Saccharomyces cerevisiae S288C: one gene and its partners. The gene in region 3 interacts genetically with the main gene of each other region. Each region holds a gene or a part of one and is shown on either strand. Other genes may lie near its edges.

The links.
Region 1: mutations in WAR1 (region 3) and DFP2 together harm fitness more than expected from each alone (negative genetic interaction), as found in Saccharomyces cerevisiae (2 studies listed by BioGRID).
Region 2: mutations in WAR1 (region 3) and MSN4 are lethal when combined (synthetic lethality), as found in Saccharomyces cerevisiae (one study listed by BioGRID).

Annotation. Positions count from the first base shown.
Region 1 is NC_001133.9:182,639-190,280, reverse strand, and holds DFP2 (DUP240 family protein), read right to left. Parts: upstream 3,961-7,642; coding exon 3,736-3,960; downstream 1-3,735. Other genes in the region: carnitine O-acetyltransferase YAT1, read right to left, coding at 1-88; DUP240 family protein MST28, read right to left, coding at 1,470-2,174; pheromone-regulated DUP240 family protein PRM9, read right to left, coding at 2,549-3,445; KTD1 (DUP240 family protein), read right to left, coding at 4,685-5,389; DUP240 family protein UIP3, read right to left, coding at 5,804-6,511.
Region 2 is NC_001143.9:318,984-328,336, reverse strand, and holds MSN4 (stress-responsive transcriptional activator MSN4), read right to left. Parts: upstream 5,110-9,353; coding exon 3,217-5,109; downstream 1-3,216. Other genes in the region: cleavage polyadenylation factor subunit MPE1, read left to right, coding at 1-219; fructose-bisphosphate aldolase FBA1, read left to right, coding at 850-1,929; BLI1 (Bli1p), read right to left, coding at 2,225-2,566; YKL063C (uncharacterized protein), read left to right, coding at 6,819-7,322; putative Mg(2+) transporter MNR2, read right to left, coding at 7,664-9,353. UniProt on the Saccharomyces cerevisiae protein: Positive transcriptional factor that acts as a component of the stress responsive system. Recognizes and binds to the stress response element (STRE) which is involved in the response to various forms of stress (heat, oxidative, osmotic, etc.).
Region 3 is NC_001145.3:112,013-116,852, forward strand, and holds WAR1 (War1p), read right to left. Parts: upstream 3,336-4,840; coding exon 501-3,335; downstream 1-500. Other genes in the region: TRAPP subunit BET5, read left to right, coding at 1-332; hydroxymethylglutaryl-CoA reductase (NADPH) HMG1, read right to left, coding at 3,722-4,840. UniProt on the Saccharomyces cerevisiae protein: transcription factor which binds to a weak acid response element (WARE) to mediate stress induction of PDR12 and FUN34, encoding an acid transporter and a putative ammonia transporter, respectively.

The DNA of each region.
Region 1 (7,642 bases), on a different chromosome or scaffold from region 3:
GCTCGTCCTGCAGGGGTTCCACGCGTGCCAGGTAGCGGTTGAGCGTGTCCTGCAGTGGCGGGATGGGTAGTCTCTTTAAGTTTGGCATTGTATACGGAAAGGAGGGGTGGGCGGGTGTGGTTATTGTCGTGTGGTTATTGTCGTGGGTGTGCTTCTATGTTATGTGTGTCTTGTATATATATGCGCGTTCCAGTTGACGCTGATACAGCCCGCCGGGCGGACGGAAAGTCCGCGGGGATGACCGCGGACCGCCGGGCCGATGACTCTAGTGCTGATGCTGATGCTGATGTTGTGCTATATGCTTTTTTTTAGCCGCTGATGACATATAGAGTCCAGATGGGGAGTCCTTTCAATCATGCTTTTCCTTGCCCCTTTACTTTGGACTATGCACTCATGATTGCCATTGTGACTGGAGAGATCGTGACACTGCTGATGGTTTTGTCATTCCGCACGTCCTACGTTTAGAAAGTAACGATGCCAATCTTCATCACGGTAAAAGTAATACGGGGTGGGGTGTTACTGATGAGAATTGGGGGAATTTTGAGATAATTGTTGGGATTCCATTTTTAATAAGGCAATAATATTAGGTACGTAGATATACTAGAAGTTCTTCTCGAGGATTTAGGAATCCATAAAAGGGAATCTGCAATTCTACACAATTCTATAAATATTATTATCATCGTTTTATATGTTGATATTCATTGATCCTATTACATTATCAATCCTTGTATTTCAGCTTCCGTTGAAAACGATGACTATTTCTCATCATTTGCGTCATCTTCTAACACCGTATATGATAATATACTAGTAACGTAAACACTAGTTAGTAGATGATAGTTGATTTTTATTCCAACAGTTACGTAAACCGTTATCAAATAAATACGCTCAGATTCAATTCTGATTAATTTTCATTGGGGCTGATGCTTTCGCTGCAAGTTGTCATAGTATTATTTATTTATTAATACCTTAGATTTTCTTGACAATTAACCAATTTTTAATCATTAAACTTAATAATATTTAATGCTACTGTACTTTTTATTATTATTTATTATTAATTTATTTATTCGTTCATCTTGTATGTAATCGTCCTCCGTTCTTTTCCCTTTACCGCTGGCTTGCGCGCGATGATTTCCACTAAAAGCTTGCTTGGAAATCTCGATCACCGACATACGCCCTGAGAATGCTTATAGGAGCTATTGAGGCGAAAGAAGTGGAGGGAAAGTAATATCCCGAGAACGAAAACGCAAGGTTTATTGTCATGAAAATGCAAATGCACCGTTGACAAAACCAACCACACGATTATCACGACTACTACCATAATAGGTAGGCAATGAACCACTTTGTTCAGCAAATGGGTCCAACACGAATCGACTTTTCGAGGCTTCCTTCGGCCGTTTTCCGGCCAGTTAGTGCTGATTATATATCATACTCTAGTTTATGTTCGCTTTACGTATGGTAGTGTCTCTAAGCTATTCCGTCTTTTTAAGAAGCGCATCGATATTGGGATGCCGCCTTCGCCAGTAATTTTCCTGAGCTTGTCGTTCGATCTCCGCTGCCTTGAGCAAAAAGTTTTGATAATTCAGTCTGGAACTAGGAGAAGCTGACTCGATGGCATCTTCAGGCTTAGCGGTGACCGGAGAATTGCCAATTGACGTGGCTGTTTGCTTCTTGGGGGTTACTCCCTCAACAAGGCGTAGAAAATAACGGTAGCAATCCTCATCGCTGTAAAAGTAATACGGAGTATGCCATTGCCCATGATTAAACAAATATTGGTTCATGTTGTATGTGATGATCCTCCATTCTTTCCCTTCTACCGCCGGTTTACGTGTGATGACATCCACTAAAAGCTCGGTCCTAAAATTTCGACGACTGACTAGCTTTGGATTACCATCACTTAATATTATTAACAAACCTACAAGAGAAGTAAAAGCAAATATTGCAGAATTGAAAACACAAGCTTCGTTGTCATTAAAAAATATAATTAATAAAACCAAAACCCCTATTACCAGGGACAAAATCATGACTGGTGTATAGCGAGCGATTTCATAGATCCAATAACTCAAGTACGAACGGAATATGTCCTTAGGAAGAGCCACATTTTTCTCAATTAAATGTGCACTAGGTTCGTTAAGTGTATCTAACTTGACGTCGGTACTTTCTGGAGGGGTCTGCATAGCCAATATATACCTTGTATTGCCTATGACTATAGTATTCCTGGTTGTTTCTGTGCCACTGCATACTGATCAAATGTTTCAATTACGCAGGACCCTTTTACGATTGTTTTTCATCTCTAGAGGCATTTTCAACATCGTATTTTCCGAAGCGTTGCATAATGAAAATGTGATAATAAGGCAGTGAGCTACTTTGTCACAACAAAGTACGAGAACAGATGAGGTTCCGTGGTGTTTTTGGGGCAACCGCACTATTTGGAGCGCTGTATATATTTATATCCTACTACAAAAAATCATAAATGACACTGAATTGGACACATGCTAGCGTCAAATACCTTGCCTGGTAAAGTTGTGTGCTAGTGTCTCCCGTCTTCTGTCTAAAAAAACTCATCGACACCAGGATACTCTTGTCGCCAATATTCCTTTTGAAATTGTTGTTCGATTTCGGCTGCCTTGGTGAGGAGCTTTATAAAGTTCGGTCCGGCACTAAAACTAGAAGACTCAGCGGCTTCGTTTGGTGTGCCAGCGGTTTCGTCATTTGATTGTGCGTCTTTAACATTGCTGGCTGACGATTCCTTTTGCTTCTTGAAAGTTCTTCCCTTAATAAGACTTAGAAAATAACGGTGGCAATCTTCATCACGGTAAAAGTAGTAGGGAGTATCCCATAGCCCATGATCAAATAAATACTGGTTCATCTTGTATGTAATTGTCCTCCATTCTTTCCCCTTTACCGCCGGTTTACGTGTGATAATTTCCATCAGAAGCTTAACTTTAAATTCCCGATCACCGATCGGTTCACTAAATGCAATTACAACCATGCATGTTCCTGGAAAGCAAAAGGAAAACAATAGTATCTCAAAGGCAACGCAAAATTCCGTATTATAAAAAAACACTAATAATAAAATTGAAGTCACAATAAGTACGAGCAAAATTACTGCCGCTTTATGACGAGTAACTTCATATATCCAATAACTTAAGTACGAACCGAATATGTCCTTGGGAAGAGCCACATTTTTCTCAATTAAATATGCACTGGGTTCGTCGAGAAAATCCGACTTGGCGTCGGTACTTTCTGAAGATGTTTGCATGCCCAGTTTATATCTTGTCTTCTCTATAGCTCTGCTATGGTGTTGAAGGATGTTATGCGGATCAAAATAGCGATCTGTCTTATACCAATTGAAACTTTTCATCACCTGCTTTTTACTTCGGAGGCATTTTTCATTCAATACTAAGTTCCGGAATGATACAAAATAAAAATGGTATTGAGGCGACATAAGTTGTTAGCACAGCAAAGATGGTTGCGGGTTAAGTTTTCTGATCGTTCTGGGAGAGTATTTACGTTAAAAAATAGGAATCAATTAAGCATAATCATGCCGTTTTGTGTGCTACATATCTGTTTCCCACTATATAAAGTCACGTTAGAATGCAATTTATCTAATTTACTACCCCATTTTAGCGTCAGTGGATTGGTAAATCCCTTTGCTAGCAAGGTACTGTCAGAATATTTCTCCTTCCTTTCAAATAATTGCACCAATATCTTGCCAATACTTCACTTGAGATTGTTCTACAATATCCGCTGTCTTGGAAAGCAATTTTGAAAATCTTCTCCGGGATTTAATGTGAAAGATTCGCCAGCTTCAGTCTCCTGTACATTTTCCTCAGCGTTGCTTGTTGGCTTCTCGAAAGTTCTTCCCTCAATAAAACTTAGAAAAAGACGGTGGCAATCTTCTTCGCAATAAAAGTAGTAAGGAGTACTCCATATTTTATGGTCAAATAGATATTTATTCATCTTGTACGTGATAATGTTTCATTCCCCTTTCACCGAACGCTGGCGTGTGCTTACCTCTAACGAAAGCCTAATATTAGATGCTTTATTGTCGGTCTGTCCCGGAGATGAAAAAAGAGGATAGAAGGGACATGAGATGGTATACTCGGAAATTAGTCAGTGAAATCAAAATTACAGATGCCAGGAACATAATCATTATCGGCTTACAATGAGCCCCCTCGTAACACGTAAAGTGAATAACTTAAGTACGAATTGAACATGTCTTTGGGAAGGACCACATTTCCCTCAACTAAATTGGCACCATCTCCACTCAACACATCCAGTCTAATATTTTTATTTTGTGGTTGCGATTGCATACACGATTTGAGTACTAAATTTTTGACGAATGTAATACGGACCAAACAACAGCTTTTTTATTCACTAGTTATTCTTATAACTACAACACCAAACCCTTTTTGAGATCCTTTTTTTCTTTTTCTATTGTTTGGATTTTCTTGGCTGCATTATGCGAAGCGCAACAATAGAATGTGACAAAAACTGACAGAACCCTTATTAAACAAATATGAAAACCTCTAAAAAAACTTACAAATACGATAGTTGTAGGCCATGATGTTTGTACAGCTCGAATATATGATGCTCAATTCTGGCTTCGAGATGTTCTTGAATTCGATTCTTGTTCTCGTTTTAAAGAAAAGTAAGTATACTTGGTGAATAAAATGCTTCCGCTTCAAGGTAAATCAGCGTCAGGATATTGCTTTCTCCAGTATTCACTTTGAGCCTCCTTTTCTATTTGTGTTGCCTTCAAAACATATGCCATCAAAATAGGGTCTGATCTAATACTATAAAAGTTGTTTAGACCATTTGAAGTCTTCCCTGCTGAGACAGGTGATTGTGTATCCTCGGCACTATTCGATGAGGAATCCGAGTGCGAACCAGAATTCACTTCCTTGATAAGAGTGGTGAAGAACTCATGGCACTTCTTGCCGCTATAGAAATAGTACGGGGTATACCATAGTCTCTTCATGAATAGATATTGGTTCATATTATATGCGACAGTACCCCATTCCTTCCCCGCAGGCTTGCGTGCGATCACCTCCACTAAAAGCTTTATCATGAACTCCTGTTCAGTGATCGCTTTCCCGAATGTGAATGCTGCAACCACCATTAAAGCCATGGAGGCTACTATAAGGGACATCACTAAGATCACAGTGCACCCGTCGTTATCATGAAAAAGCACAATCAATGAGATCAAACTCACGATTATGATGATCATAAACATGATCGGTTTACAATGAGCAATTTCATAAAGTACATAACTCAGATGTGAACTGAATGTGTCTTCGGGAAGAGCTACATTCTCTTCGATTAAATGTGCACTGGGTTCGTCGAGAGTATCCATCTTTACGTCGGTATTTTCTGAAGGTGTTTGCATGGTCAATTGATATCTTGCCTTAATATGGCACTTATAGATGTTATCCTGATCAAAATAGCCAGCTGTTTTATGCTTTTTTAACGTTGTTCACCATTGTATTTATTATTTTTGAGGCATTTTTCACGTATTGTTGCAACGTCCCGAAGGGATTCGATGTGATCGAAAAGCGTCCCGGCTGATCTATTGTGATGACCAGCTATCTCACGTTGGCGAGCATCAAGCCGAGGATCATAAAGCAAAATATATAATAGCATTTGCATCTAAAGTAAACTACATAAAATTTGTTTCGAGCGTACATAACTTTTACACCCAGATGGACTGACACTTAATTGCGGGCTTCGTAATGTTCTTGAAGTTAATGATGCTCGTACATTTTATATTAGAATATACTAGATAAATACCAAAAATTCGGCCCTAAGGCAAATCAACCTCTGGGTATTGCTTTCTCCAATACTCAAATTCAGCTTCTTTGTGAATTTCCGCAGCTTTAATAAGGTAAGCTTCTAAAACTGGATCAGAACTAAAGATATAAGGTTTTACCATCTCATTTGAAACCTCTTTTGCTGGTGTGTTTGACTGCGTATTCTCTGCACCGTTCGTTGGTGAACTCAAATGTGCATTCGACCTTGTCTGTTTGATAAGGCTTTTGAAAAATTTATGGCACCTATGTTCACAAAAAAAGTAATACGGAGTATGCCATATCCCATGGTCAAACAGATACTGGTTCATATTATATGCGATTATTCTCCATTCCTTCCCCCCTACTGCTGGTTTACGTGTAATGACTTCTACTAAAAGCTTAATTATGAAACCCTTATTCAAGGTCTCAGACACGAAGGCAGTTATACCGATCAATAAAATGATAATAGAGAGGATAAGAGAAATCACTAAAAACACAAGGATACCTTTGATATCATGAAAAAACGTAATCAATAAAACCAAACACACAGGTATTAGGAACATAATCATTAGCGGTTTACAACGAGCGATTTCATTAAGTATATAACTCCAGTACGAATTGAATGTATCCTCTGGAAGAGCCACATTTTCCTCGATTAAATGTGCACTGGGTTCGTCGAGAGTATCCAACTTGACGTCGGTATTTTCTGAAGGGGTTTGCATGTTGAATTGATATCTTGTCTTGTGTAAGGTTATTATATGGTTTTGGAGGTTGTTATGCTGATTCGAATTACGACTTGATCATGATACTAATTGAGCTTTGACGAAATATTTTAGCAATTCAGAACCCCTTTCATATTCTTTTTTTTTTTCATTTTTAGAGGCGTTTTTTCACTGATAGGTACAGCCTCCGAAATAATATATAGTGAAGATATAATAATAATAGTGCGAGCCTTTTACAGGGCCATTATGATCATGAGTGAGATCCAGAAAAGCACATTGCATGGCAGTCGGATGTTGAGAATTGGGGGAATTTTGAGATAATTGTTGGGATTCCATTGTTGATAAAGGCTATAATATTAGGTATACAGAATATACTTGAAGGTTCTCCTCGAGGGTCTAGGAATCCCCATAATGGAGTCTATATTTCTATATACCAATCTTACGATTATTCCTCATTCCGTTTTATATGTTTCATTATCCTATTGCATTATCAATCCTTACACTTCAGCTTCCTCTAACTTCGATGACAGCTTTTCATACCTTATGCCATCATCTCTACACCGTATATGATAATATATTGATAATATAACTATTAGTTGATAGACGATAGTGGATTTTTATTCCAACAGAATTGCATTCCAACACATTGCCCCTAGCAATAATAGAAGTCCTACAATTATCAGATTTTTTAGCCAATTCTCAGCAACAAATCTAAATAGCAATTGCTCTTTTTAATTAATGGTTTACAGTTGTGATGCAACGCAATCCTTTTTCTTATAATTGGTTTACATATTTTATCACTGAAAATAATGTTGTATTACGGGCTCGAGTAATACCGGAGTGTCTTGACAATCCTAATATAAACAGTCTTAGGGAAGTAACCAGTTGTCAAAACAGTTTATCAGATTAATTCACGGAATGTTACTTATCTTATATATTATATAAAATATGAATCATACTAAGTGGTGGAAGCGCGGAATCTCGGATCTAAACTAATTGTTCAGGCATTTATACTTTGGGTAGTTCAGCTAGGGAAGGTCGGGTTTTGTCTCATGTTGTTCGTTTTGTTATAAGGTTGTTTCATATGTGTTTTATGAACGTTCAGGGTGACGTATTGTCATACTGACATAT
Region 2 (9,353 bases), on a different chromosome or scaffold from region 3:
CCAGAAACTAAGAAAATGAAGTTGATGGATCCAACTGGCACCGCTGGCTTGAACAACAATACCAGCCTTCCAACTTCTGTAAATAACGGCGGTACGCCAGTGCCACCAGTACCGTTACCTTTCGGTATACCTCCTTTCCCCATGTTTCCAATGCCCTTCATGCCTCCAACGGCTACTATCACAAATCCTCATCAAGCTGACGCAAGCCCTAAGAAATGAATAACAATACTGACAGTACTAAATAATTGCCTACTTGGCTTCACATACGTTGCATACGTCGATATAGATAATAATGATAATGACAGCAGGATTATCGTAATACGTAATAGTTGAAAATCTCAAAAATGTGTGGGTCATTACGTAAATAATGATAGGAATGGGATTCTTCTATTTTTCCTTTTTCCATTCTAGCAGCCGTCGGGAAAACGTGGCATCCTCTCTTTCGGGCTCAATTGGAGTCACGCTGCCGTGAGCATCCTCTCTTTCCATATCTAACAACTGAGCACGTAACCAATGGAAAAGCATGAGCTTAGCGTTGCTCCAAAAAAGTATTGGATGGTTAATACCATTTGTCTGTTCTCTTCTGACTTTGACTCCTCAAAAAAAAAAAATCTACAATCAACAGATCGCTTCAATTACGCCCTCACAAAAACTTTTTTCCTTCTTCTTCGCCCACGTTAAATTTTATCCCTCATGTTGTCTAACGGATTTCTGCACTTGATTTATTATAAAAAGACAAAGACATAATACTTCTCTATCAATTTCAGTTATTGTTCTTCCTTGCGTTATTCTTCTGTTCTTCTTTTTCTTTTGTCATATATAACCATAACCAAGTAATACATATTCAAAATGGGTGTTGAACAAATCTTAAAGAGAAAGACCGGTGTCATCGTTGGTGAAGATGTCCACAACTTATTCACTTACGCTAAGGAACACAAGTTCGCTATTCCAGCTATTAACGTCACCTCTTCTTCTACTGCCGTCGCTGCTTTAGAAGCTGCTAGAGACAGCAAGTCCCCAATCATTTTGCAAACCTCTAACGGTGGTGCTGCTTACTTCGCTGGTAAGGGTATCTCTAACGAAGGTCAAAATGCTTCCATCAAGGGTGCTATTGCCGCTGCCCACTACATCAGATCCATTGCTCCAGCTTACGGTATCCCAGTTGTCTTACACTCTGACCACTGTGCCAAGAAGTTGTTGCCATGGTTCGATGGTATGTTGGAAGCTGATGAAGCTTACTTCAAGGAACACGGTGAACCATTATTCTCCTCCCACATGTTGGATTTGTCTGAAGAAACCGATGAAGAAAACATCTCTACTTGTGTCAAGTACTTCAAGAGAATGGCCGCTATGGACCAATGGTTAGAAATGGAAATCGGTATTACCGGTGGTGAAGAAGATGGTGTTAACAACGAAAACGCTGACAAGGAAGACTTGTACACCAAGCCAGAACAAGTTTACAACGTCTACAAGGCTTTGCACCCAATCTCTCCAAACTTCTCCATTGCTGCTGCTTTCGGTAACTGTCACGGTTTGTACGCTGGTGACATCGCTTTGAGACCAGAAATCTTGGCTGAACACCAAAAGTACACCAGAGAACAAGTTGGTTGCAAGGAAGAAAAGCCATTGTTCTTGGTCTTCCACGGTGGTTCCGGTTCTACTGTCCAAGAATTCCACACTGGTATTGACAACGGTGTTGTCAAGGTCAACTTGGACACTGACTGTCAATACGCTTACTTGACTGGTATCAGAGACTACGTCTTGAACAAGAAGGACTACATAATGTCCCCAGTCGGTAACCCAGAAGGTCCAGAAAAGCCAAACAAGAAGTTCTTCGACCCAAGAGTCTGGGTTAGAGAAGGTGAAAAGACCATGGGTGCTAAGATCACCAAGTCTTTGGAAACTTTCCGTACCACTAACACTTTATAAGTTAATTCAAATTAATTGATATAGTTTTTTAATGAGTATTGAATCTGTTTAGAAATAATGGAATATTATTTTTATTTATTTATTTATATTATTGGTCGGCTCTTTTCTTCTGAAGGTCAATGACAAAATGATATGAAGGAAATAATGATTTCTAAAATTTTACAACGTAAGATATTTTTACAAAAGCCTAGCTCATCTTTTGTCATGCACTATTTTACTCACGCTTGAAATTAACGGCCAGTCCACTGCGGAGTCATTTCAAAGTCATCCTAATCGATCTATCGTTTTTGATAGCTCATTTTGGAGTTCGCGATTGTCTTCTGTTATTCACAACTGTTTTAATTTTTATTTCATTCTGGAACTCTTCGAGTTCTTTGTAAAGTCTTTCATAGTAGCTTACTTTATCCTCCAACATATTTAACTTCATGTCAATTTCGGCTCTTAAATTTTCCACATCATCAAGTTCAACATCATCTTTTAACTTGAATTTATTCTCTAGCTCTTCCAACCAAGCCTCATTGCTCCTTGATTTACTGGTGAAAAGTGATACACTTTGCGCGCAATCCAGGTCAAAACTTTCCTGCAAAGAATTCACCAATTTCTCGACATCATAGTACAATTTGTTTTGTTCTCCCATCACAATTTAATATACCTGATGGATTCTTATGAAGCGCTGGGTAATGGACGTGTCACTCTACTTCGCCTTTTTCCCTACTCCTTTTAGTACGGAAGACAATGCTAATAAATAAGAGGGTAATAATAATATTATTAATCGGCAAAAAAGATTAAACGCCAAGCGTTTAATTATCAGAAAGCAAACGTCGTACCAATCCTTGAATGCTTCCCAATTGTATATTAAGAGTCATCACAGCAACATATTCTTGTTATTAAATTAATTATTATTGATTTTTGATATTGTATAAAAAAACCAAATATGTATAAAAAAAGTGAATAAAAAATACCAAGTATGGAGAAATATATTAGAAGTCTATACGTTAAAACCAGAACGTGCACAATTTTTTTAATCTGCCAAATGGAAAAAACGGAAATATACGGAAAAGAAGTTGAAGTAATAGTTAGAAAGGCAAAAAAGGAAAGAAACAATTTAAAATATCTTAAGATTATATTAGAAACAAACACCAATGTTCATTTCATTCCTTAGAATATATCCGAATGAAATGACCAACCTACTTGTTTTGTAAACTGAGGAAGAAAGAATATTATTTCTCCGAAAACTTGTCATACCGTAGCTTGTCTTGCTTTTATTTGCTTTTGACCTTATTTTTTTCAAAAATCACCGTGCTTTTTGTGAGTTTTTAGATGTTGTGATAAATTGTCACTTCTACTGAATTTTTTCTCACAGAACATACAAGCAAAAGGGCGTTCCGTTGAATGAACGGATCTTATATGCCTTTTCAAGTGCTCACTGCGTCTGAATGCCTTCTCACAGTCTTTACACTTGAAAGGTTTATTTTTATCGTAGTTGTTGGGGTCAATGGTAGTAATAGATTTCCTTTTCCGAGGTTGGACAGGAACCTTACCATTGTTGTTGTTATGAGAAATAGTTGGACTTAAAGTAACACTTGACGACTTTCTTCTTCTTGTGTTTGGGCTTACCGTTGCCTGTTTAGTAGGTTGTTGTTGATGATGTTGAGCTGCATGGTGAGCTTGACTAGTAGGAAGTATTTTGAACGAAGAGTTCATCGAGATATCATAGCTTCTTCTTTGGAAAGCTGGTGTAGGTGTGATATTATCAACACCAGAAGTCGCCAATTTAGCGGCAGCAGAGGCATTATCCGACAACATCATAGAGGGTTTGATAAACTGTTGATCCTGAGCCGGAGATGACTTGAGAATGTTGAAGGGGTCTACGTTATTGTCGAATGCCGACATTGTGGTTGCATCTAAGCTATTGTAATTTAGCGCACCAAAAGCATCGTCTTCATTTTCTTCTGAAAGAAATGATGCGGAATCAGACAGAGGATTTGCCATCACCGAATCATTTGCAAAAGATTCAATATCATGAATTAAGGGCAAAGAGGCACGCTGTTGCCTTGTGGTGCTACTGCTATGGGAGATGCGATTTAAAGAAGAGGAAATGCTTTTTGGCTTTGTTATACCAGAGTCCTTAGAAAAATCCATACTATAACCGCTCAGAGCTTGAGAAACGTCATGATCTAATAATTTGAAGTTTGGATTAGAGTTGTTTATAGTGGTAGTAGGTGAAATGGTTGATCCACGCCTCTCAGTAGTGGCAGTACCTTCAGGGATAATTTGTTGAGTGGGTTTACTGTTGCTACTATTTTTGTGATTGAGATTCCAAAACTCTATCGAATGAGAGATCGAATTTCTAGAATCCGTCATAGAAGGAAAGGAAGAGGTAACCACCTCGCTGTATCTTCTTGCGTCGCGACCAGCGTCCGGCATGAACTTCAATGCTTCTTCTGAAGATACAAAATCCTCTAAGATTGATTGCATGCTATTAGTATTATCATTATTGGTATCGTCTAGATTATAATCATTGTCGTTCAATCCTGTTGTACTGTTGGCGTTGTTTGGTAACCTAGCATCTAGAAACAAATTGGAATATATTGAAGGTTCTGCCTCAAGAAGGTTTGTCTTGGGAGAAGTTGCATGTTGGTGTGGCGATAATTCTATATTTTCATTAAAATGACTGTCATTGATAGGATTCATTGGAGAAAATACCTTTTCTAGTTGCTCCAAGTTTTTCAATTCGTCATTTAAAGCTTGAGGGGTGGCTACTGAACTATATATCTTATCACCACCATTTTTCTTACCATTAGCATTACTGCTTTGTTTCTCACCGTCATTCACGAACTGTGCGTTATTGGAATTTTTCCACTTCCAGTTGGTAGCTAAACTGGCGGTATCCTTTAAATTCATTAAACTATTATTAGCAGTCGTATTAGTTGTCGCTGTTAAAATTGGAGTATTAGTGGCGTCCGTTCTATGCGGAGAATCCATTGAGAATTGACCAAAGGTATATTCCGGCGAAGATATGCTATTGTTCGCAGAATTGTCATTAGAAGAAGTAGCAGAAACGTTGGTTGTGCTCAATACCGGGTCCATCAATCCGTTTGGCTCGTTCATTATAGACGAATCTTCTTGTTTCTTGTTTGCGTGACGAACGAAACTACTATTAGGTCCGAAGACTAGCATTATATTGTTTTTAATAAGAAGAAAAGAAAAAAAAGCCGAACTGATAAAGGCGTTAAATATTCAAAAAGGAAATTTCACGTTTTAATTCTTTTCTCTATAAATGTTAATTCTCTGGAAATAAAACGGAAAGAGACGGAAAAATTCTTAAGCCTGTTGACCAGTTGCGAAAAACACATCACAGAACTGCAGTTGCTTGTTATATACAAATTTAGACAGAAATAAGATGCATAAAAATAAAATTTAAGTACCTACAGGTATGCTCATGCATCTAAGGGAAACATGTGTAGCATCAAGAGGGTAGAAAGGCCCGCAAGCGGAATCCCAGAAATAGCCATAATACTTTTGATAGATAAGAGACCTTTGTTAAACGCTCTTAAAAGGGTGGGTTTGGTTTATCCGGAGAATAGCAATGCGCAAACCTTATTGCTCAAGAGTCCTAGTTCTAGCTCGGGTTTTCAGGTTCTAAAAATGACCAGTACGCCGCCAGCAGTGAAACCTCGTGGGAGAAAGCCGGTTCCTGCAGCCTGACATTTGCGCTGGGTTTTCACGGCACCATGCCTAGCAGCCCTGGCCACTGTCATCGCTACCAACCGCTTCGTACAACAGTACCCACCAGCAGCCGGCTGCTGGCCCCACATAGAAATTGTTACGGATCCGTCCCCGCGCTCGTACTTTACAGCCAACCCCACCTTTTTCCCTTTTTCTTGGTGTGCGGTTGCCGTTCCTTCGAGGAACGGATCTTCGGGCTTTTTTTGCCGCGCTCAAAATGCCCCGGAGCGGCACTTTCTATGTATGTTTTTTTCTTTCATTTTATTATTTCCTAGTGCTGGCAAAATGATTGCTTGGAGCTCACAATACCTGTGAGGAGACCCCTTCCCCTTTTCTTTTCCCCTCCCCTGATTTCGGAAAATCAAAAAAATCGTTACGCTTGACAATTATTCCTTTTTGAGCGATTATTTTTCAAATTTCACAACTTCTTTGCCTTCAGAGGTCCTGGGTGCCTTACATCGTAGCATTTATGTTGCATCTTTTATCGAAAACATAGCTCTTTACGCGCTAAGGAAAGAAGTTGACAGCAGCTGGGTACACTAGGCAAGGTAGACGTTTTTATCAACTGTCTGTAGATAGATTCACTGCATCCTTATACTGCAAGAGATGAAAATTTTGAAAACCCTTCATCTTTTGCGGCTTTAAGCTTTCAATGAAATGTATGTTAAACAGTGCTTATCTCCTGTTTTTACGCGCAATAACGCCAGCGGCCTTGTTTTCCTCTCTTCTCCGTTTAGCGTTAGCCATTCGTTCAAATGAACGCTAAAAACATAAGGGCTACCCTTAAAAACTCCGCTATGAAGGCAAAAAATATAAACAGGGTAAGCACCTATATGTAATTTGGCACGACGTGAGCAATTTCATGTTGTGCAGCGGGATAGCAAGCTGTGCAGCGGGATAGCAAGCTGTGCAGTATTCTAACAAAAAAAAACACGAAGAAAAAGAAAAGAATAGCGAATTTCTCAGTGACAGTCTTCCAATCTTTCAGAAAGGCAAAAAAAGTGATTTCGTCATTAACATTAAGAGTTAGCACTTTACCAGAGTGCTATTGCCTTCCAACATACGTTCCTCCCCTCCAAAGTAGTAGTACTATATAGATAAAGCTAGGGTATTCTGAGCAAATATAAATCAAACTAAAGTGATTCATAATTATAGAAAATATGCAGGGCGATATCAGAAGGAAAAAAGATCTTTTACCTCGTTATAAAACAGGAAGCAAATATAATTCCAGAAGAAGGGGCGGTTATCTGACTACCCCTATGAAAAAGATTATAGTATACATTATACTGTTATGTGGCGTTTATTTCGTTATAAAAGTTGCCTATTCTGATCTGAATAAAGAAACTGAGATCAAGCTAGAAAGCCATTCTTCTGATGTTTCTGCAAGTGCAAGCGATCATACCAATATTGCAGCCGGCGGTGCAGCTGATGCGACTAACAATAAGCAACCACAACAAGCTAAAGTACCTAAAGAAAAGTTCAATAATGAAGTCGCAAAGCAACAAGAAGTAAAGAATTTGGAGAACGATTTGAAACCACAAATTGATTCAGAAAAGCAAAAACAAATAAACAAGGACAAAAAAGAACAAAAACAGCAACTCCAGAAAGAGAAACAAGATCTCGCCAAGGAAAATTTGGCTAACAATGAAATCCTTGATAATTAACCAATTCAAAACTTCCAACAGTTTGGTGATGAAAATAATAAATGTTTTACGTTAACCTTATTGATTAACCTCACCTCCCTTATTCTTTGTATAGTATAAGTGCATACTAACATACTGTGTACGTACATAAAGATATGCAGAACGTTCACAAACATGTAGAAACCAGACACGAAAAAAAAAAAAAAAAAAAACATAAATAGATTAAAGATATTTATCACCACAAGTATACGATACGGCGCTGATAATTTACAATTCTATCCTTCGGGAAAGACAACAATAATTTAGGCTGATAATTAAAATCGAAGGAAAAGCAAGCGCTAATGCGCGAAAAAACACTTAAATTAAAACCCGAATCTTCTCTTAGTATACATATATGCAGAACATGCTAGCATACACATAAAAAGCACAATGCCTATAAACCATGTCAACGAATCCCTGTATTGTCCGGGCACGATAACATTCATACCCCACAGACCCGTAATCACATTCATTGGCAGAACAATAGTACCCAGTATGGTAATTTTTCCCAAAACGTCGTTCATGTCATTATTAACCTTCGTCATATCAATGTTGATTTGTGCCAGATAATTTGAATGCGATCTACTTAACAGTTTTTCATAATGGTTTAGCGATGAGACCATGGTTACAATATGATCTTGAATATCACCCAAATACATTGCGATTTCAGATTGTGGCGAAGCTTCCCATTGCTCATTATACCTTTTGGCAAATCCTTTTATCACATCAGCCTTGGATCCTAGCAATCTTAGTATACTCATCACTCTTTTACGGCATTCACCAATCCGCCTCAACATATCTCCTTTTCTCTTCCAACCTATCAAATTTGCATTGAATGACGCTTCAGAAGTGCTCATACTTCTTGAACTCACACTAGATTTTGCACTAGAGTAGGACGTCTTTTTAGAATAGACATCGAACGGAAATGCATCCTCATCGCTAGCGCCCGAATCGGAATCACTATCGCTAGAATCGCTATCACTAGAATCATCTGACTGATGCATCTTCAAAATGGCGTCCTCAATCTCATAAACTTCATCTTCGATAAGTTCTATCATAGGGGCAAATGCGTCTGTAATGTCATCGATTAAGGCATACGCAATCCAATCAGAGGTAACATTAAGGTAATCCTTTAGTAGTCTTGCTCTTCTTCGAACATTAATAGGATGTGGTGTGGGAGCAAAATGAAACGTCAATACACCAGTTCTGAAAACAATAATGTAAACATTCAATGGCTCTAATTCTCCCTCACGTGGTTTGTGCCTGTCTCCTGATTTTCTTTTGAATTTTTCGTTCTCTTCCATCTTTTTCTTTTCGCTTTTGACACGGCGTTTATAGCTTGATGATGATGTATTGGTTGTTCTATTTGCAGATGACCGACGGCGTGCACGTAAAATCGATGGAAGCCATTTGCTCCTACTTGCATTGCTTGTACTGTTATTGTTATTTGCATTTGATTCATTTGACATAGTAGCACCATAGGCTTGTGATTTACGACGTGAAATACTTTCATGATCCAAGGTAGCAGATTCTTGCTTTTCTTTTCTCCTCCGACGAACATGCTTTTCTGCTACAATATCGAAACTTCTAAAACAAATCAGGTAATAATCTCTAAATAGTTCCACTTTCTCACGAACTTCTCCCAAAAAAATATCTTCTGTAGTTAAAGGGTGAATTCCGAAAGCTTTACTTAATATTTTCATCTCCTCTTCAGTAGGATTGCTGACATCCAACCAGAATGGAGGAACATCCTCTATATTTGCCACAGACATAGACGATAAAGTGGAAGGGTTTTTAGCTGTCAATCCCTGGAGTTGAGATACAGTTTCTGCTTTTATACCAGGTGTTGGAGAATTTGGATGTGTCTTGATATGACCAGCGCTATTATCTTGGGAGTATATAGAAGCGACAAATAAATCTTGAAATTTTTGACCAGGTTGCAGTAAACCAGATATTGTCGGAGAATGAACAGTAGAGTCCAAATCCACCCTAAAATAAGTGAACCTGAAATGT
Region 3 (4,840 bases):
CGTTACGCTCCATTACACAAAAGCTCTCCAAAGGGTCTGTTAAAAATGACATACGGAGTATATCTACAGGAAAGTATAGAGTCCACACATACTGTACAGCTTCAGGGCTATGGTTTGTTCTATTGTCCGACTTTAAACAGCAGTCTTACACTCAGGTTTTACAGTATATTTACAGCCATATTTATGTCAAATACGTGAGCAACAACTTATTATCACCGTACGATTTCGCTGAAAACGAAAATGAAATGAGAGGTCAAGGGACAAGAAAGATCACCAATAGAAACTTTATATCCGTTCTCGAGTCATTTCTAGCACCAATGGTTAATCAGTGAGCACGAACCATGAGCAGAAGAAAAACCTAAAATAAATAGAAGCGATGAATTGAATTGCATTCATCGTATATATACCTAAGGATAAATTAATTAGTTTTACATATTTTAAACTTTGTTTGTTAATACAAACTCGGATCTGGTTTGGGTCATAATTTTTGTTGTGGGGGCTCAAATATCATTCATGAAAAGGTCTGTCCAAAACTCGTCATTTAATGAATTAACGCCCCATGCTAAGGAGTTTATATCCGTCAAATAATCGTTCAAGTTGTCTACCGATGAACTAGGTGATGGTTTTATATTAGTTGAGTCAGCAGAGTTAGTCACATCATTAGAAATAAATGGTGGTGGTAATAGAGTTGTGCCTGTCATACTCTCTCGGTGTTCATGTGGGGATTCATTCATATATGAAGTACTGTTAATATTCAGGTTCATTGCGGCAGTATCGTCACGAACTCTTGAGTATACTGGCAGCATTTCATCAGGTACAGCGGTTATGTTTTGGTTTGTATTATTGTCGATAATTGGATCTTCTTCTGTTGGCATCTTTTGTGACTCGGTTACATATGCATTTATTGGCTTCGTACCATCGTGGCCATTGCTTACTTCGTCTATGACCTGCTTTTCCTTTAGTTTCTCCCTTTCTGCATTGTAGCGATCAGCAACATCAATAACTTTGTTTGCGTAGGTTTGACAAAATAACGCAATAACATACCTAAATTTGTAAAGAGAGTTGTTGAAGGGATACAGCTCTGATGTTTTTTCTAAAAGATTGTTTACCCCTATTACCAAGGCAATAGCATCATCTGTAAGGGGCATTAAATCGTGAAACGAAGGAATAGCGACTACGGAATAGCGCAGCTTTAATAAGAGCATACCAACGGTATATATGATCCTGGAAGTATGAAATAAAGGTAATGAGGTAATTAAAATTGGCTCCAACTTGGAAAATTCCTCAAGGGCAGATTTACAGCAATGATAGCATTTAACAAAATCATCCATTATTTCTCTGGGCAATTCGACTTTTTCGTTTATGGTATGCGACATTTCCCCGATGAATACTGCAAGTTTATACTGGTATAAATAAGCTTCTACAGAGTAATAAAATGCAATCACTCTTGGCCTGTTTCTGTCAAGTTTAGTGAAAATCTCTTGCAATTGCTTGTGGTATTTTTCCATTAGTTTATTAAGATACTTTTTAGTAAAAATAGGATCATCAAACTCGTCATCATTTAGATCTCTCTCATGTAGGTGTGTGTGAATATTTTCCAAGACGTGGTTCATTTTAGCAAATTGAACCAAGATGGGATCATCAGCTGAATCAAGTAATAGTTTATCGTTGTCATAATGTCGCGATTTTTTCGTCTCTTTAACTAAATCCTCGCAGGCCTTTTCCGTGACGTGACTCCAACGAGCTTGTATTGATTGACGTAGAAAAATTGAAATATTGAGTGCGGAAATGTATACCAATAAAGTTAAACTGGCGCCATTACTGTAAAGTTCCAAAGGTGACTTGAATCTCTTTGGATCCTCGTCACTAAACATACCAAAGGATCGATTGACATAGGTAGGCCCCAAATCTCTAGTTAAACAGCAACAGATGTAATTAAATATATGGTATCTCGTTTTACTTGACCATTCAAAAAAATTATACCATAGACATAATGTAGACAGTGATTCGATGATTTCGATAGATTTATTATTAGCCTTGAAAATCTGATTTGTAATTAAGTTTAGTACAAAACTATCAAGCTTCATAATAGTTCCTCTGGTGGTTTGTTTGGGTGTTAGTACAATTGAAACACATGACATAATGACGGAGAATAAAATAGGTTTCTTCTTTCTTAATTCATCGACACTAACATTCTCTTCGACCTTTATGAATGGTAATTTTGACAAATATGAAATCTCGGTTTTATAAAGATGTAAGCGAAGCGTCGCTTCTTCATGAGATATGATTCCTACTGATACAGGATCTGCAATGGTTGGCAAAAACATGCTCTTTTCAACAAGGTCATTCCACTGCTTTGACCAAGTGTCAAGCTTCATCGAAATATCTCTAATTTTACCTTTTTGAGAAATAATCAGTGATTGTAGCTGCTTCCTGAACGACCGTGTCATATGTCTAGAGTATGATTTCTTTTGTCTTTTCACTTTGACGTTCTGTGTTTCCTCATCACCCACAATTTTAGGCCTATGTTTGAACAGTGCCTCGCTGTTAATGCTGGTAGGCGCAGATGAAATCGGTACGGGGGAGTTGTAGGTACTGTATATAACTGGCGCATCACTAATATTAGTATGCTCATCGTTAGATGCTAAAACTGCTGGATTTGTGGGCACACTGCCATTGGATTTTGTATGATTATTGGTGGTTATCTCTCCGGTAGATGTGGTTTCGGCCTCTCTTGCTCCATATGAGGGTGGTTGGCTTAAAGTTGACCAAAGATCGGATAAACTTTGTTGAAGTCCAGGTAAGACTGTCCGAGAGTTTGGAAATTGTTTAGCGTTTGGGTCAGAAGGGAAACTGGCGAGGTAAGATGTACCATCCTTCAAGCTAGATTCTTCAGAATCTGTTGGGCCTTTGCTTTTAGTAGAGACATTCACCATCGGCGATTCAAAAGGTGTGGGTGACCTTGATCTAGGCTTTCTCTTCCTTGTCCTTTTTGAAAGATCAAACTTGCACAGCTTCTTGTGTTTCAGACACCTTCGACAAGGTTTCCTATAAATATCGTTAACATCAGAAGGCTCACATTTTTGCTTCAAGGAATGGCAGCATACACAAGCAAATGAGTTTCTTTTGGTCTTCCCCTTTTCAGTAGTCTCTAGTTTTGTAGGATACGAAAGCCTAGGGTCATCTTTGGAGCATCCTTCTATAATAGTTTGTGTGGCCTTATCTATGCATGGGACATCCGCCTTCGGCAAAGAAACTTTTTGGTCGGTCTTTGAATTATCATTATTGATTTCTTTCCCGACGGCAACGCCAGTTATTGCAATCTGCGTGTCCATGTTGTAATTCAACCCTGAAGATCTTCCCGATCACAGTCAATACACACTAGATATTAATGTATACTGTATGAAAAAATTGACTTTCCGCTTCATTGCTCCTACATTTATCGGATGGCGCACATAGCTAAAAAAGGAAGATTTTCACTCATAAGGGAAAGGAACCGCATGACTCAAGAGAAGCATGTGGTTTTTGAGTTTTTTTCGTTGAATTTTCAGGTAAAGCTCAATAGTTATGACAATTACAACAACAGAATTCTTTCTATATATGCACGAACTTGTAATATGGAAGAAATTATGACGTACAAACTATAAAGTAAATATTTTACGTAACACATGGTGCTGTTGTGCTTCTTTTTCAAGAGAATACCAATGACGTATGACTAAGTTTAGGATTTAATGCAGGTGACGGACCCATCTTTCAAACGATTTATATCAGTGGCGTCCAAATTGTTAGGTTTTGTTGGTTCAGCAGGTTTCCTGTTGTGGGTCATATGACTTTGAACCAAATGGCCGGCTGCTAGGGCAGCACATAAGGATAATTCACCTGCCAAGACGGCACAGGCAACTATTCTTGCTAATTGACGTGCGTTGGTACCAGGAGCGGTAGCATGCGGGCCTCTTACACCTAATAAGTCCAACATGGCACCTTGTGGTTCTAGAACAGTACCACCACCGATGGTACCTACTTCGATGGATGGCATGGATACGGAAATTCTCAAATCACCGTCCACTTCTTTCATCAATGTTATACAGTTGGAACTTTCAACATTTTGTGCAGGATCTTGTCCTAATGCCAAGAAAACAGCTGTCACTAAATTAGCTGCATGTGCGTTAAATCCACCAACAGACCCAGCCATTGCAGATCCAACCAAATTCTTAGCAATGTTCAACTCAACCAATGCGGAAACATCACTTTTTAACACTTTTCTGACAACATCACCAGGAATAGTAGCTTCTGCGACGACACTCTTACCACGACCTTCGATCCAGTTGATGGCAGCTGGTTTTTTGTCGGTACAGTAGTTACCAGAAACGGAGACAACCTCCATATCTTCCCAGCCATACTCTTCTACCATTTGCTTTAATGAGTATTCGACACCTTTAGAAATCATATTCATACCCATTGCGTCACCAGTAGTTGTTCTAAATCTCATGAAGAGTAAATCTCCTGCTAGACAAGTTTGAATATGTTGCAGACGTGCAAATCTTGATGTAGAGTTAAAAGCTTTTTTAATTGCGTTTTGTCCCTCTTCTGAGTCTAACCATATCTTACAGGCACCAGATCTTTTCAAAGTTGGGAAACGGACTACTGGGCCTCTTGTCATACCATCCTTAGTTAAAACAGTTGTTGCACCACCGCCAGCATTGATTGCCTTACAGCCACGCATGGCAGAAGCTACCAAACAACCCTCTGTAGTTGCCATTGGTATATGATAAGATGTACCATCGATAACCAAGGGGCCTATAACACCAACGGGCAAAGGCATGTAACCTATAACATTTTC